Saccharomyces cerevisiae S288C: one gene and its partners. The protein of the gene in region 3 purifies or fractionates together with the protein of the main gene of each other region. This does not show direct contact. Each region holds a gene or a part of one and is shown on either strand. Other genes may lie near its edges. The genes, in order: TAF2, TAF13, SPT15 and TAF7.

What was found.
Region 1: the proteins of SPT15 (region 3) and TAF2 purify together in Saccharomyces cerevisiae (affinity purification with western blotting; 7 studies listed by BioGRID, with this or other methods). This does not show direct contact.
Region 2: the proteins of SPT15 (region 3) and TAF13 purify together in Saccharomyces cerevisiae (affinity purification with mass spectrometry; 6 studies listed by BioGRID, with this or other methods). This does not show direct contact.
Region 4: the proteins of SPT15 (region 3) and TAF7 purify together in Saccharomyces cerevisiae (affinity purification with mass spectrometry; 5 studies listed by BioGRID, with this or other methods). This does not show direct contact.

What each region holds. Positions count from the first base shown.
Region 1 is NC_001135.5:200,674-207,412, forward strand, and holds TAF2 (transcription initiation factor TFIID subunit TAF2), read right to left. Parts: upstream 4,725-6,739; coding exon 501-4,724; downstream 1-500. Other genes in the region: MATALPHA1 (transcriptional co-activator mating type protein alpha), read left to right, coding at 1-296; YCR041W (uncharacterized protein), read left to right, coding at 238-570; YCR043C (uncharacterized protein), read right to left, coding at 5,588-5,971; PER1 (Per1p), read right to left, coding at 6,204-6,739. UniProt on the Saccharomyces cerevisiae protein: Functions as a component of the DNA-binding general transcription factor complex TFIID. Binding of TFIID to a promoter (with or without TATA element) is the initial step in pre-initiation complex (PIC) formation.
Region 2 is NC_001145.3:75,346-78,270, reverse strand, and holds TAF13 (Taf13p), read right to left. Parts: upstream 1,005-2,925; coding exon 501-1,004; downstream 1-500. Other genes in the region: ARG81 (Arg81p), read left to right, coding at 1,231-2,925. UniProt on the Saccharomyces cerevisiae protein: Functions as a component of the DNA-binding general transcription factor complex TFIID. Binding of TFIID to a promoter (with or without TATA element) is the initial step in pre-initiation complex (PIC) formation.
Region 3 is NC_001137.3:463,631-466,945, reverse strand, and holds SPT15 (TATA-binding protein), read right to left. Parts: upstream 1,644-3,315; coding exon 921-1,643; downstream 1-920. Other genes in the region: PEA2 (Pea2p), read left to right, coding at 1-738; cohesin-loading factor complex subunit SCC4, read left to right, coding at 2,104-3,315. UniProt on the Saccharomyces cerevisiae protein: General transcription factor that functions at the core of the DNA-binding general transcription factor complex TFIID. Binding of TFIID to a promoter (with or without TATA element) is the initial step in preinitiation complex (PIC) formation.
Region 4 is NC_001145.3:721,932-726,204, forward strand, and holds TAF7 (TATA-binding protein-associated factor TAF7), read right to left. Parts: upstream 2,455-4,273; coding exon 682-2,454; downstream 1-681. Other genes in the region: ORA1 (oxidoreductase), read right to left, coding at 1-465; MTF1 (RNA polymerase specificity factor), read left to right, coding at 2,695-3,720; RRP5 (Rrp5p), read right to left, coding at 4,003-4,273.

The DNA of each region.
Region 1 (6,739 bases), on a different chromosome or scaffold from region 3:
TTCGACAGTTCAATAAGACATCTATAAAATCTTCAAAGAAATATTTAAACTCATTTATGGCTTTTAGAGCATATTACTCACAGTTTGGCTCCGGTGTAAAACAAAATGTCTTGTCTTCTCTGCTCGCTGAAGAATGGCACGCGGACAAAATGCAGCACGGAATATGGGACTACTTCGCGCAACAGTATAATTTTATAAACCCTGGTTTTGGTTTTGTAGAGTGGTTGACGAATAATTATGCTGAAGTACGTGGTGACGGATATTGGGAAGATGTGTTTGTACATTTGGCCTTATAGAGTGTGGTCGTGGCGGAGGTTGTTTATCTTTCGAGTACTGAATGTTGTCAGTATAGCTATCCTATTTGAAACTCCCCATCGTCTTGCTCTTGTTCCCAATGTTTGTTTATACACTCATATGGCTATACCCTTATCTACTTGCCTCTTTTGTTTATGTCTATGTATTTGTATAAAATATGATATTACTCAGACTCAAGCAAACAATCAATTCTTAGCATCATTCTTTGTTCTTATCTTAACCATAAACGATCTTGATGTGACTTTTGTAATTTGAACGAATTGGCTATACGGGACGGATGACAAATGCACCATTACTCTAGGTTGTTGTTGGATCTTAACAAACCGTAAAGGTAAACTGCCCATGCGGTTCACATGACTTTTGACTTTCCTTTGTTTGCTAGTTACCTTCGGCTTCACAATTTGTTTTTCCACTTTTCTAACAGGTTTATCACCTTTCAAACTTATCTTTATCTTATTCGCCTTCTTGGGTGCCTCCACAGTAGAGGTTACTTCCTTTTTAATATGTACTTTTAGGATACTTTCACGCTTTATAACAATATCAAGTTTACCTTCTTCATTACTATTCATCTTCGCCACAAGTCTTCTCTCCCTTGGTGTTTCCAATCTAACTACAAAACTGTTGATTAGGGTGTACATCACCCTAACAAGATCATGTATTTGCTTCCTCTGGTACAAGCTAAGAACAGGTAAATTCAAAACATCCCAGAGTAATATCTTCAAAGGGCTATACCCTTTAAACATATCTCGGCATATTTGTATTAACCCACTAATATTTTGACGGCCAATCTTTTCTATTTTTATTTTCATATCATCGACGTAATGACCACTTAAAAACAACTCAATATCATCCTCACTTTTTATATTTTTAACTTCATTGTGCACAGATTGGACGGAGGACTTAATATCGTCACTTATGGTATCCAAACTACCATCCATAACAACTAGATTTACACATTCAGAAAGCACATCAACACTTTTATCCCTAATATAAGAATCCTCATGGAAGCAAAGTATTTCAGTAAACAAAACAAGGGCATCCTTGTTTTTTAAACCACCTTCTAAAAGCATGATTTTCAAAACCATTAAAAACTCATTCTGAAAGCTTTCCCTGGAAATATCTCCGTTATTTATACCTAATGTTAATGTATGCATTATCATTCCTGTCAATTCCGTAAAGTCATAAGCACCCACTTTATGCAATTTGTACTTAGCATACATGATAGTAGTCTTAATCAAAGACTCGTATGATGAAAGCCAATTCACCAAATTTTCGTACCTCAATAACTGAGTCTTAACTTTTTCCATATATGCTTTATCTTTATACTCATTTAAAGCAACTTTAACAACATTTTCAATCAAGCTGCGGACGTACGCATCATCACTGTATTTATTTTCACCATTCTCATTATAAACAAGAATATCCAGTAAAAATTGCTTCACCAATTTTGGACATTTACCATTTTCATTTTTCACTTTAGCCAAATATTTGGGAATATTACACTGTAAGAAATACAACTTAGGATTCTCAAAGTTATTACTCTTTGGAATATTAGAGTCTTCTAGGCAAAACAAAATCTGAAAAATCTGAATTAAATGCTTAACACCGCCAGTAAAATCCGGATCATATACGTATTTACTAAGCGCTTCGCACGCCGCGAGTCTTATGCCAAAAAAGTAACGCTCGTCGATCGCCGTTCTAAACAAAATACTTGAATAAACAAGTGATTTCACACCACCATTAACAACGACGTCCTCATAATATCGTATGGCTTCTAGTTGGGCCTCTATGTCCCCATCTTGTCTCAACTGAGAAGAAAACATGTAATCCGGCTGATTAATGTGCATTTGGCAAATCCATTCCAGATCAGAGTCTATGCGTATCCACTCAAATGCTTCGTTTTGCTTAAGCAATTCATTACTCTCAGACGTACGATTAAATTCCGTCAAACTGAATCGGGAACACTCTTCGGGCGACATGTATACATTTCCTAGACAATTCACATCCACAACAATAGGCTTCTCCTCATTATTGTTTTCAACACCATTTTCATCATTTGCACCACCACCTCTTTTCCTTAATCTTCTGTACTTTGTATTGTACTGAATATCTATTTTTGTGAATGTATCTTTGATTTCCACAATATGCTCATACGGAGTACCATCGTGTTCATGGATCCTTATAGTCATCGAGCCCGTGAAGCATTCGGTTCGGTTCAAATCTGGATGTTCTAAGTGGTCTAGTGCACTTTTGAAAAATCCTTCCTCCCCTACCACTTTTTCGTGGCCAAGTTCTTCATCTTGAACTTGCCTTATACCCAGTTCTATAACCATCCTCTTCCTATTAAATCTTTGGGTGACACGTAATATGGGTACCCCAGACCCATATACCCATTCGTTGAAAAAATTCTCTAATTTACTTTTATTAACTCTTTCGCAAACATGTTGAAAATGCGATGAAGTCAACGAATTATTCGGTAAATCACCAGACATAGCTTGAAGGAAAATTTTAGGTAATACTCGAGACATACCGAAAGATCGTTCTGTTTTAGTCATCCTTCTGTCAAGTATGTGTAGTATCATCGGTGCCTTCAATTGTATAAAGGACAAATCTTTAGAAGACCAAGATATTGGCCTAGAACTGCCGGTAAAAGTGCTCCCAATAGGCGGTTTCTCGAAGTCTTGTTCCACAATCGCCTCACTATTACGCTTTAATTGATATTTATACGTGTTATTACCCATTAATTTTTTGGTTACCTGAAACACCATATAACCAGCAATACCAAGACAGCACCAGTAGTCGTTCATATCTAAAGGAGTTATATTCACACAAGACCATTGGTTAGCAAGTGCCCATGCTAACTCATTCGTAGTACTGAATGCTTTATCAATAACTTCTAGAGGGTACAATAATCTGGTATTACAAATGCCTAATGCTGCAAAATCCATATGCTTAGAAGGTGCGGTAGGTAAAAACACCATAGAGTAACAAGTGAAAGGATAAGACCCAAATTCTTTCGAGTAGAAATCTATAATTTTTTGGCAGACAACTGTCGAATTTATAACTGTTAACTCATCTGTTTCCTGCGTCGGAAGTGTGAAAATTTGAATGGGTATAATATCCGAACCAATGTCGTCATCCATAGTATCGTTAACATTGTCCACAACATTCTCTCTCAACTTGTCTTCCTCTACTTCGTCCTCGGCATCAACACTTGGAGGTGATATCAAAGGTAAAGACCATGAATTAAAGGCGCCTATAGCCCAACCAATGTGATGTGGAGCCACAGGATTAATTATCTGAAATATGCATTTTTTTTTCGTCAAATCAATCGGGTGCGGAAGTTCTTTAATATTTGAATATTCTGAACAACACACAATCACATCCCTCAAACTCGGATTGTTGCTTTCCTCAATATTCCGCCTTTCCTCTTCCCCTTCCTCTTCCTCTTCGTCACTTTCGCCTTCCTCTTCTTCTTCATCATTATCTTGTGCATCTTTGCTTTTACTATTTTTGCCTTCTTCGTCATTTTTCAAGTTAGAATCCTTATCTTCGTCTTTGATAACTCTTGCCGGCTTCCCCTCTTCCTCTTCATCGTGCTCAGGCGTATCCTCCTTCTCTTTTTCACTCTCTTCTCCATTTTGTCCGATTAATTTCGAAGTACCTATATTTTTAACCAATCTCGGTACGCTGAATTCTAACTCCCATGTAGATTTTTCATCAAGCAAATCGACACATGGGACCCAATATGATGCAGAACTGCAAATCTCACCATTTGAAGTGTAAACGTTCCATAACCAGGGCTTGTCAGCATACACAGTATCGAATTTAATACCCGACTTTGGGTTTCTGATTTCATATTCAATTTGTAATGTAATTGGAGTGAAAACAGATTCTTGAAACCCAGGGGTAGTCTTAATTGAAGGAGTAATCGGAGTGTAATTACTTAATGCATTGGCGTCCTCCAAAGATATTTTGATGGAAGATGGTATTTTTATAGTTAACTGGGATTTAGAGTCCGTTTCTGGGTATTCATTCAAGCTAGCAAACTTAGATCTCAAAAAATGTGACTGTTCAATGGAATTGTCGCTGTATAATACATTTTGTGAAGTCAATCCATTCAAATTTGTTTGAAGTGGGTCGTCATGAATAAATTGATCACATCGACGATTTTCGACCAGAACATCTTTAATAGTCATTTCCTTGCAATCAAAAGTTACATATTCTAGGTTTTGGATCAACGGAATGATTATTATAGTAGCGCTACCGGTAATGCAGTGAGTAGCTAGATCTATATCCAACGAGATTTTTTCATGGGCAACTCTAAAATTTCTAAACTTCATCTCATGCAAAGTGCTAGATTCACTAACAATGGCTCTAGGAGTGGCGTTTTTGGAAAAGGACATCATGAAGTCCACCTATTTATCCTGTTGTCACCTCTTCACTGTCCAAAACTTCATCAAAAAATACTTTTACATCCGTTCCATTTTACTATAGTTTTCATCTTACGCAATTTACCAATTGCCCCATTCGGCAAAAGTATTTAAGTGTTACCCGGTTACTTAAGGTAATACCAAAAATATTCACTATATTGAAAGTTCTATGTATTTTATTGAATTAAATAAGACTGATTTTGTAGCACGATATCCGCAAGAATGATTCACAACCATTTTAGATGTCTGCAGCTTTTTTTTTTTTGATTTTTTTACTAATTTTAGTGCGATTTTAGAATAACTCTTGGATTAAATAAATAAAAAAAATACAATTATCACTCAGATTTTGAAGCAATCTGATAAAAATTGCAGCATATTATTATAACAATTCTAGTTCACTACAAACAGCACATTATCAAGAAACTTATGTTTGATGGACAGTTTCTTCAAATAATTGAATGCAGTAAAAAATAAAAAAAATAACCATGGAATATGTTTCTAAGAATTCGCAATCCTTGTTTATATAACTATAGCTTTTTTTATGTTATAAGAAAACATTTATTCCTTTAACCAAAAGGAAAAAGGTAACAACCCCACTTACCCCTCTGTCAATAGTTAATCATTTTATTATTTTCAACTTTAAACATCCAAAAAAAATAAAATAAATTAAATTAAAATCAAATAGAAAATGCATTATTACTATAATAATATCTCTATGTAGACATATACATATTATTTCATTGCTTTTTGTAATAAACGAGGAAAATGGTGGGATAAAAAAATGCATTGTTATTCCTTCGAAACCAGCAGTAATAAGTCGTCCTGAGAACGATGTAGATTTAGATCTTTACATGTTGGTACTCTAAATCACCTCCTTCCATCTTAAAGTCGTCCTTCTTCTTGCTCCAATCAAACTTGCTTTTCTTGCTGCTGGGACACCAATTTAAACTTATTAACCAGATAGTAAACAAAATCATGAAACAACAGAAATAACACCAAAAATGATCGTAAACGTGACCCCTTATGATATCACACACTGAATAATCATACACTTCATCGTCTATAACCAGTCCATAATTGAAATAACCGAGTCCGTATTTCAATACAGGTTTATATCCACCTTCATCGGTAAACGTACTTGGACTCAAAACTGTGCTTAGATCATTAGTTCCTTGGAATGCATGTTCTCTCAATAAGGAAGCATCAAGTGGAGCTGGGATCATCCTTTGCCAAAGTACGTTAAGAGCGCTTTCACTGCCTACTGTTGCCCCAAAAATTTCTTGGCCTTATCTTGGCACAAATATTCTTTTGCATTTAGTTCTATACATACAGAAAGAGCGAAAAAAAAGTGAAAAATAAACAGAATGTGATAACGGTAAAAGAAAATCAAAAATAAACAAAAAAAAATACATATATAACTATTATTCATGATAGTAAACAGGTGAATTAAGATATTTAGTACAATTGTCTATTACCCCAATAGGCATAATCCTCGAGGAAAAAGTCGTACAATACCCACGAGGGCCATATTGTGCACAGATGCCATAGCGCATGGGCATCAATCTGCCATTCGTAACTAAAAAAGTCAAACAGTTCCAATGACATGGCCATTGTGGTTACAATCACAAGAAGAATTGGAATGACACACAGTTTGAAGATTTGCCGCTTGAAGCTGGAGTACGCGGTTTTCTTGAATTCGCCCATTAGCTTTTGCTTTTGCAGAGCATGGTAGTTTTGGCATGATAACATTATCAATAAAATATACTGTAAAACACCGAAAAAAATGTTGAATCTCATGTTGTATGTGTACGACCAGTCAACATAGAGTCTCAAGATGTGCAGGGCAAAGATTGCCGCAACTGACGCAGTGAACGCTTGTGCTATCTTGGGGTACAGGAACATGGAAGTCATTCTTGCAAATATTGCATGAAACCCTGTTAGGACAGTTAAACCTGCGAAAAAGTAATCTAGCTTCTCCGTTATGATCAAAT
Region 2 (2,925 bases), on a different chromosome or scaffold from region 3:
GTAAAAATAACTTACCGCAGGAGACATTTTTTACTGATAACGATCGCTTCTAAAACTCGTTAGTACAGGCTCGTTGTGACTTAGAATCAAATAATAGATGGGTTAGGAGGCGCACGTACCTTCCTAAGCACAGAAGGGAGCTTAAGTTGCTGTTTCAGGCGGTGACTTAACAATACATCTTAACTATCCAATGCTGACAGCTGAGTATTGCAACACAACTATCAGAGGGAGGAGTTTGCCGTTACTAATGTAGCAGGGTTTTTGAATCTAAAAGAATAAATGTACCAGTTGAATCCTAAGATTTTACTTGGAAAAATATATAAATAAGAAAACAATGCATTCAAAATTGTGCCATTGTAATGACAAGTGTTTTTGTTCAGCACCAACGCAAACTCAAAACCCCTTTTATAGAGCAAACGCCTAATTAATAAATCAAAGGGACATATGTACTACGTATATCTGAATCAAGCCTACGTAAACGGGCCTGCCAAGTAGCTATATCATTTTTTTGTTTTCTTGAGGTTTTTAGGCCCCTGCTTCCTAATCTTTGTTGCCTTCGAATCTGTTGATTGTTTAGCGCTATTACGGCCCGCTGCTTCCTCATCATCATCCGTCACCTGCTGCTCATCCTCATCCTCTTCCATCTCGTCACCCTCTTCATCCTCTTCTCTGTACCTCTTTAATGAATTTTGATTGTCTGTCTCATTGAACTGCTTCTTAGCTTCCGTAATCAACTTATTAGTAGCTATCAGTTCTTCTGCTCTCCCAAGCTTTATCGGGTCTTTACGGAGGGCAAACTTGAAATCTTCCAATCGGAGCTTATTGCGCTGAGAATTCTGGGCTGTATGGAATGCGTTAGTACAAACATCCACCAAATATCCAGATACCAATTCATCCAAACACTGCACAGTAGCTTGTAGTGGCTGCGGCACATCGCCGTAAGCGTAAAGCAAGGAACTTACATCCTTGTTAAACAGATTCGTTTTTTTCAGCTTCCTAGACATATCTTATCCAGCTCACCCTCGCCTGCCGTTACCTTTTGGATTTCATGTTGCAGTTGTTGATGAACCTTCTTTGTTATCAATGACTCTTCGCCTGCGGTTTCCGCTAGAACTCAAAAATAAATGAAAAAAAAATACACCTTGCGAAAAGCATCTCTTTTAGATTTGATGCTTTAGTGGGCAATAGTTACCGATATCAGTACCTCGAAAATTTTAAGTTGCAGATATAATGGGAATTTCCAGCAAGAATGGCCCTAAAAAAATGGGAAGGGCAAAGACGTTTACTGGGTGTTGGACGTGCAGAGGAAGAAAAGTTAAGTGTGATCTTCGGCATCCCCACTGCCAACGATGTGAAAAGTCTAATTTGCCTTGTGGCGGTTATGATATCAAACTCCGGTGGTCTAAGCCTATGCAATTTGACCCGTACGGTGTCCCAATCCCACAAAATTCTCCTGCAACTACTACGAACTTATCAGGTAGTGTCGATGAACCACAATACCAACGACGGAACATCGATTTTGTGCGCTATGATGAAGAATACGTGTATCATGAAGATATGGATGATGAGCTAACAATGCTGCATACTCCCCCAATTGAGAAAATAAGCGATAACAAGACGTGGATCATAAAGAAATTTGGGGTGTTTAAAGGAACAGATAAGATCGACAAGCAGTACGCTCCAAGGAAGAAGCGCAATAGGAAAAGAGTTGCCAAAAGCTTGGAGAGCTCAGCTTCTATTTCGTTATCTTCTTTACCATCTTCTTCAACTATTTCCTTTCCAATTAGACATATTGAAGACAAGTTGAGAAATAAAGGGCATGTAAAGACAGGTATTCTCTCTGCTAATGATGGTGTTCCACCAACACCAAATCTTTTAGATTATGACTGGAACAATCTGAATATAACAGGTTACGAATGGATCTCGAGTGAACTCAGAGATGATGCATTATTGTCAGCGGTGACCTTACAGGGACATCACTTAGGACACACACAGCCACAAGAAATCTCATTAGAGGAAAACTCTAATGTCGTGAGTGGGGAAGAGCATGTGAATGCCAAAGAACATGGATGTGCCTTTGAGGCTGATAATCAAGGTTCATCAACTTTACCTAATAAAGCAGCCAGTGCCAATGATAAACTTTACCAGCAAAACTTGAAGTTACTCTTCCAGAAAAACTCTTCGAACAGTGAGGAACCAGACCCTCAAGCATTGATCGACGATGTGTTCGTCAATATTGAACCAAGATCTCTGCCCGCATCTGATCTGAATAAAATAACTCTAGCTCCTCCAAATGAAGAATCACGCATGCCTAAGTCCATGTTAGAACTCACATCCTATTCCAGTGACCTACCACCTGAATTGGTAGATATTATACCCAAAACAGACCTTACCGTACATGGTTTAGCGAGATTTCTTTTAAATCATTATTTTAATAATGTTGCAGATAAAATGACAGTGGTCGTGCTCGAAAAGAACCCATGGAAAACATTATACTTCCCCAGAGCCTTGATGGCATTAGGCGATTTAGCGGGTTTGGGACAATCCTCCAACTCGAGGAATGCGTTGTTGAATGCTCTTCTTGCTGTCTCTTGCTTCCACTTGCAAAGCAAGTACCCAAGGAACTACAAACTACAAAAATACTTTCTGGGCCTAGGTATCGAATTGAGAAATCAAGCCTCGAACTTTCTAAGATTATGTTTGAACACAAAATCAAGCATACCTGAGAAATATAAAGACGTACTAACTGCGATCTTATCTATGAACTCTATTGATGTTGTATGGGGGACGATGGCAGATTGCCAGGATCACTTGGCTCTTTGTGAAGACTTCGTTGAGTCAAGAATGAAACTAAGACCTAATATTTCTGAAAAGACAAAAACCTTACACAGGATTTTCTCGTTTCTGAAGTTAATTCAAGATAGC
Region 3 (3,315 bases):
CTTCAAGAATTAACGTCCTTCTTGATGTCAAACTCCATTCAGAAAGGCATTGATATCAAGCCAATACCATTAGATGACCCTGTGAAGTTCTTGAAAAATGGGATAAATTCTATCTTGGATACCTGCGTCAGTCTAGAAAAAAATACGTCATCACCACCTATTTCGCCTAACGCCGCTGCAATTCAAGAGGAAGACTCCTCTAAAAAATTAGAAGAACTAGAAACGGCATTTAGTGATTTGCAACTGGCACACAATTTCTTGACTAAGCAATTCGAGAATGACCGTGCCGAATATGTACAAGATATCGAGAAGCTAACGCGGACTAACAGAGAATTACAAGATAAGTTATTAAACAACCACTCGAATTTGAGTAAAACTGAAAAGAAATTACACGAATTGGAGCAGGAAAATAAAGAACTTGAAAAAGCCAACAACAAGCTGAATTCAAGCAGACATAATTTCGGCATGTCATCACCAGCGAGTTCGCCGGTGACTTGGGATCCAAGTTCACCTTCCTCTGTAGGAAGCCCCACAAGCGGTTCTGGATCACGTTCACTTTCAATAATGACAAGTGAGTTTAAAAAAGTGCTTACGAGTACACAAAGAAAGTATGAAAAAGAATTGTCGGATGAGCGTGAACATAGATTCAAGCTGGAAAGGGAGCTTGCTTTGCTGAAAAATGCAGAGGCAAACACCTCGCTGGCGCTTAATAGAGACGATCCACCAGATATGCTATGAATAAACATCTTATTATAAAACATTGATATATAAATATAGAATAAGAAGAATATACTATAAAAAACCGTTTGATATTACAATTACTTCTTCTTCCTTTTCTTTTATTTCTTTGAGGACCATTAATAATTGAGAAAATGGAACAAATAGAAAACCTTTTTTTCTTTTCGTCTACTCCTTCCCCATCACATTTTTCTAAATTCACTTAGCACAGGGTATATAGCTTCAAAAGCTTGGTAAATTTCTTCCCTTTGCTTTGCACCAGTAAGAACAATCTTTCCTGAAACAAAAATTAACAACACAATTTTCGGCTTCACCATTCTATAGATCAAACCAGGAAACAATTCTGGCTCATAGGAGGAGAAAGTACCATGACTGAATGCTAACCCTTCTAGACGTATAGGGAATTTAACGTCACACGAACCGACAATATTTTGTATTTTGAAGTCTGTGAATTTAGCAGCAAACCCGATTTTTTGGATAATTCTTGCATATTTTCTACTGGCCAGCTTTGAGTCATCCTCACTTTTTGCACCGGTAACAACCATTTTCCCTGAGGCAAAAATTAAAGCTGTAGTTTTTGGCTCTCTAATACGCATGATGACAGCAGCAAAACGCTTGGGGTTATATTCTGCATTACGGGCATGTAGCGCAACTGTTTTCAGATCTAACCTGCACCCCAAAGTCACAGTTGCCACAATGTTTTGTAGTGTTGGAACAATACCTGATGTGGCGGAGGTGTCTTTTTCAGATTCTGGGGCAGCTCTTTTTATGTCCTCTTCACTCTGGAAAGTAGTTGCTGGTTTTGTACCATCTCGATTCTGGTTTTCCCATACTTGTCTGGTATTTGGATCAAACACTATCTTGTTTGCCTCTTTAAACTCCTTTAAACGTTCCTCATCGGCCATAATTAAAAAAGTTTCTCTTGATACACCTGTTTATGTTGGACTAGAAAAGAAAAATAAAATGCAGCCTTTACTTCCTTGCTTCTTCCGCAGAGCAGTCTAACTAGTAGTCGTTTTATTTCTTATGTGTTATCTTTCCCCCGATCTTATAGTCCAAAAAAAACAGTAACTACTGTAATTTTCACGTCCCTTGTTTACTCTTACCATCAAGAATACCTATCAAGGTAAAAAAAGTCATTAGTAATCCTTTGAAGCCATGTTTTATATGTAGATCTTCAAATTTTTTTCTTTTCCCAAAAAGCTCGCGTAAGAGAAACTTGGAAGATAACTATTTACGGCTTCACAATTAAAATACGTAAAGAGATGAGTTAGATCTATCAGCAAAGGGAATCCCGACATCTCAGCTATCAGAGGGGAATCAGTATTGGTAGAAATTGAACGATTTCGAAAGAAGTACAAATTCATGGAAAATCTTGGCGACAAACTTAGTATTTCACAAGTATACCACTTAGCACAGGAATACAGAGACCATGCATATTCAATTGCGAATAAAATCGGTTCTGAGGAAGGGTTGAAGCAGTATTATGGCCTCATGAACATGTCTATCCAGATGTTTCAGCTATTGAAAACGAAATGTACGCTTTCAGTTCTGGAGGATAGTAAGGTCACGTTTGAGATGGTGGAGTTATTGATACAGGAGACGTATAATTTTGACCTAGCAGAGCTTTACATTTCCAGTTTGAAAGAACGGTTACAAACGCACCAGAGCGACACAGATTTGGTAGAAGAGATCATGCGTTGCGAGTTTCTGCTGTTACATGACTTGCCACTTATGAGAGACAGTAAGTTCCACTATAAGATTGCACTAAGAAATTGCAATGAATTAGTCCAGTACATGGTAAATTTGCAGGATGAGTTGTATCAAAATTGGGCATCCGTATTCCAGTATGTCGGCGTGATGCTTTGCATTAAGCTGAAACAGCACCGCAGGGTGAAGACGAGTTTTCATGGGCTACTCTCGCAATGTCGGGAAAAGTCACAATGGAAATGGTTTCTAAATCTGTGTTATGTGAATTACTTGCTAAATGAGAGGTTCCCAATCCCCGAGGATGCTCTGCAGGAGCTGCGAAGCACGGAGCTGCACACGGTGGGGCCTGAGCTATATGCATGGAAGTTGGCATTAGAGATGGTAATCCAGCTTTGTAAAGACGGGAATATTACGGACCACTTGAACGAATTCAAAAATTTCTTTGACACAAACAAGCAATCTCTAGTCACTAATGAAGGTAAGGGATGTGTGATCAAAATCATGCCAAGGATAGCGCTGAAAGTAGAGTTGCCTATGATTTTCCACTACAAAGAATTAAAGAACATACTGTTATTATTGCAAAGTGTCAGCTACATCGTGAACTGTTATGACGAAAAGGGCAATTTTTCCAGGAAGTTCCTCCCCAAAGTCTATTCTACAACGCAGAAACTGATTAAGAACATTGCCGCTGGCGGTGTTTCGATGAATGAGCTGGACTCACGAATCCAGACATACAAGAGCATTCTTGAATTCTGTGAGTTTTACAAAGTGTGGGAACAAACACTCTTGAAGGGGGCCGTAGTGACGACCGAGTCACCTAAGTTAGGGCCCTCTCCAGGCTACGTGAGGCTGCTGCAAGCCATGAAG
Region 4 (4,273 bases), on a different chromosome or scaffold from region 3:
TGAACCCAAATTTACAATATCTCCTGAATTCTTGGCTTGGAATATGGGCAGTACAGCTTGTGTGATATTGATTAAAGCCGTGACGTTGGTGTCAAACACGTCCTGGATATCCTCCGTTGCGATCTGGCCCACACGGTCACTGCCAAGAGCCTTTCCGGCATTGTTCACCAGAATGTCAATATCCTTGAACTCTTGTGGCAAGTTTTCAATGAAGGGCTTGATTTTTTCTGCTTGAGTGATATCCAGCTGGGCCACATGAACTTTTGCGTTTGGAAACTCTTGATCAATGGTCTTCTTCAATTCCTCGAGCTTTTCTAATCTTCTAGCAGCCAAGATCAGTTTCATATCACCATTGGATGCCTCCAAGTACTCTAATGCGGTCGCCTTACCAATACCAGCAGATGCACCTGTAATGAGGACAGTCTTCTTAGCCAATCTTTCTGCAGCTTTTCTACCTTGGGACATTATCAAAATACGTTCTCAATGTTCTATTTCCCGCCTTTACTAGTGAGCTTGAACACTTTCTATGCGCCATGCTGTTTCATCTATCCTCCTTTCTTCAGCTTTTTATATCGCTCCGATAAGAAAAATCGGTGTCGTGCCTTAATATATATCAATGCTATACGTCATAGAGTAGAGTCGTATAGTGTATAAGAGTAATATATAGATGATAAAGAGAACTTACTCATCACCCTCTGCACCAAATAGCATCATCATATCGAGATCGTTCTGGTCGAGTGTTTCCTCTGCGGGGGCTTCATCAAGTTCGCGCACCACCTTGTTCTCTTGTATGTGTTCCCGTTCATGCACATTATCCTCGTCCTCATCGTTTTCTTCGTCATCCTCCTCGTCTTCGTCCACTTCATCCTCTTCCTCTTCTTCTTCCTCTTCCTCTTCTTCTTCCTCGACGTTATTTGCAGTTTCTGCGTCAGAGCGATGTTGATGTTGTTTCTGGACAGAATCTTCGGTTTGTTGTAACTGCTTACGTTTTAGTTCAGCCTCCTTCTCGAGCTTTTTAATGCTATCTATGAACCTGCTTTTCAAAAGAGGATTCGTGGCTTTACTTAATTTATGCTTGGTATGGGCCAGGGTGGTCTCTAGTTCGTTCAATTCGTCCGCAAGTAATTCAGTGTGCTGTCTGTTTTCGTCTTTTTCGTCATCAGATTCACTTTCCCCACCAGCAGCTTCAATGTCACCGTCGTCATCATCGTCATCATCTTCTCCGCCTGTGTCTTGATCCACCTCATCACCGACTTCCTCTTGTTGTTGCTCCTTGTCTCCCTCGGCACCGCTACCTTCCTCTTCACTTTCAAAAGCAGCGCCTAGGTCAAGATCCTCCTCTTCTTCTTCTTCCATTCCTTCTTCTCCCTCTTCTTCTGCACCTTGTTTTCCTACTGCCGAAGCAATTGTGTGTATCTCTTCTTTCTTTAAAGCAGGTCTAGATAAAGGCTCTCCAGGCTCCTCTTTGAAATTTTCCCAACTAGAAACACGCTCTTGCCTCGCTTGCAGTTCACTTTTATCAACCAGATCATAGCTGACCTCTTCTGCCTGTTTATCTTGCTTCAAAAGCATATCAACCACTTTTTCTACATAGTCTATTTCATTAGGGTCCATTTTCCGTCTAAATCGTCTATTTCGAACATTGTACAAAGGTGGTGATATTCCATGTTTGTAGTCATAGCCCTTCAAAGCTATTTCTTTCAAATGTTTAGCCTCCATATCACTTAAAGGCGCACCATTGTATCCTTTTAAGAAGGTTTCTTTATTCTCCCAAATTTCATCCTCTATGCCTTCAAAATGCTTAACAACCAGATCTTCTGTATCAGGGGCTTCTAGGGCATATACTTCTTCCTCTTCTTGTATAGGTCTTATGCATAGTAGCATTTGTGATACGTCAAATGTCTTCAGGAGGTTTTTTCTATCGACGCTCTTGTTCACTTCTATAACTGTAGGCAAATCTACTAGAATGGCACCATACATTACATCGTTTATTGTTACGACAGCGTGTCTCTCGTTTTTCCACTTGATACTTATCCCAGAATAATCACCTGATTCTAACGAATTTTTTACAAACTCTAACTGTATGTCTGGAAGTATCCTTAATATCACACCACTCTCTATGAGAGGGTCATCTTCAATATCAGAGGCTTCTGAGTCGTACGCTTCCCCAGGAATTCTAATAGGTTTGAGACGTAGCTTTGGCGCCTTGTGTATCTTCTTAACTGGTTCTTCATTTTTTTTCAAGTTTAACTTTAACTTCAATGAATTCTTCTTCTCTTTGCCGTCAGCACTCTCTTTCTTTTTCTTTAGGTTTATCTTTAATTTAGGCTTTGGTTTGATATCTTCATCAGTTACCTTTGTCTTTATGCGAATTCTCTTTAGTTTAGGCTCGCCTTCTAATGGTTGATCCTTCTCTCCTGGTCCTCTGGGTTTTTTAATTCTTATAACAGCCATATTTACGTCGATTATTGCGACTAATTTGAATGGTAACACTGTCTCTTGTTTATGTAGTTCTTCCTATTCTTCTCGCTTTTATTATTTTTGCTAGCAAGTTTTGTCTTGAAATTTTATTTACTGTTCTCATCGGCCGAATAACAGCGATATTATTGTATGATGATAATAGAGATGAAACTTTACAAATGCGGTTACTACGTCAGTCAATACCATTCTTTGAAGTAAGAAGGCTCAGCAACTATGTCTGTTCCAATCCCTGGTATTAAAGATATCTCCAAACTTAAGTTCTTTTATGGTTTCAAATATTTATGGAATCCAACAGTATACAATAAAATCTTTGATAAGCTGGATTTAACTAAAACGTATAAACATCCAGAAGAATTGAAAGTACTTGACCTCTACCCTGGTGTTGGTATACAATCAGCTATTTTTTATAATAAATATTGCCCCAGGCAATATTCTTTATTAGAAAAACGCTCAAGTCTCTACAAGTTTCTGAATGCAAAATTCGAAGGGTCTCCATTGCAAATTCTAAAAAGAGATCCATATGACTGGTCAACCTACTCGAATCTAATTGACGAAGAGCGAATATTTGTTCCTGAAGTTCAATCCTCAGATCATATTAATGATAAATTTCTAACCGTTGCTAATGTGACGGGGGAGGGTTCTGAAGGTCTTATAATGCAGTGGCTGTCCTGTATTGGAAACAAGAACTGGTTGTATAGGTTTGGTAAAGTAAAGATGTTATTATGGATGCCAAGCACAACAGCTAGAAAACTTCTAGCTAGGCCAGGCATGCATTCTAGATCCAAATGTTCAGTAGTAAGGGAGGCATTTACAGATACTAAACTCATTGCCATATCAGACGCAAATGAATTGAAGGGATTTGATAGTCAATGCATAGAAGAATGGGATCCCATTTTATTTAGTGCTGCGGAAATATGGCCTACAAAGGGAAAGCCAATTGCGTTAGTAGAAATGGACCCAATTGACTTCGATTTTGACGTAGATAATTGGGATTATGTCACGAGGCACTTAATGATTTTGAAAAGAACACCCTTGAATACTGTCATGGACTCGCTGGGACATGGTGGCCAACAATATTTTAATAGTAGAATCACTGACAAAGATCTGCTAAAAAAGTGTCCGATTGATTTGACAAATGACGAGTTTATATATCTAACGAAATTATTCATGGAGTGGCCTTTCAAACCAGATATTTTAATGGATTTTGTTGATATGTATCAAACAGAGCACTCTGGTTGAAAAAAGTGCTTTTAAAATTTACTTCATTATTTAATAAATATGTGATTTTAGCGTGTGAATATAAAAAATACATAGAACTCAATCTTCGTTAACACGGAACCATCTTGTAATCAAGAAGCGAGAAGCGGAACTAAAACTTTAAGAAAAGGAGCTCTACGAACCGTCAAAGCTAAATTGATCGATAGAAATTGCTTCTTGAAACTTTACATTCTATGTACTTTACAAATATACTTTACAAACTTAGCCATTTATATTACTTTACAGTTAAAAATCCATCAGGAATTATTCGTCTGCTTTTTGAGATTCATGGCTAGCGACATACTCAGTAGCTTTAGCTTTAACGTATTCAATGGTCTTTTCGTCACCTTCAGATTCCTCAAATTGTAACCATTTATTAAAGAAAAACTTAGCCTGCTTCCTTGTTATTTTTTTGGTTATTATTCTCTCAAATAAATCTTCCACCTTCTTCTTATCTTTTGCCTTCACTTCCTGGTCTACGTAAACGTTCCACAGGTCAATTCTCTTTGGCGCATCAGCAACCAAACCTTCGAAT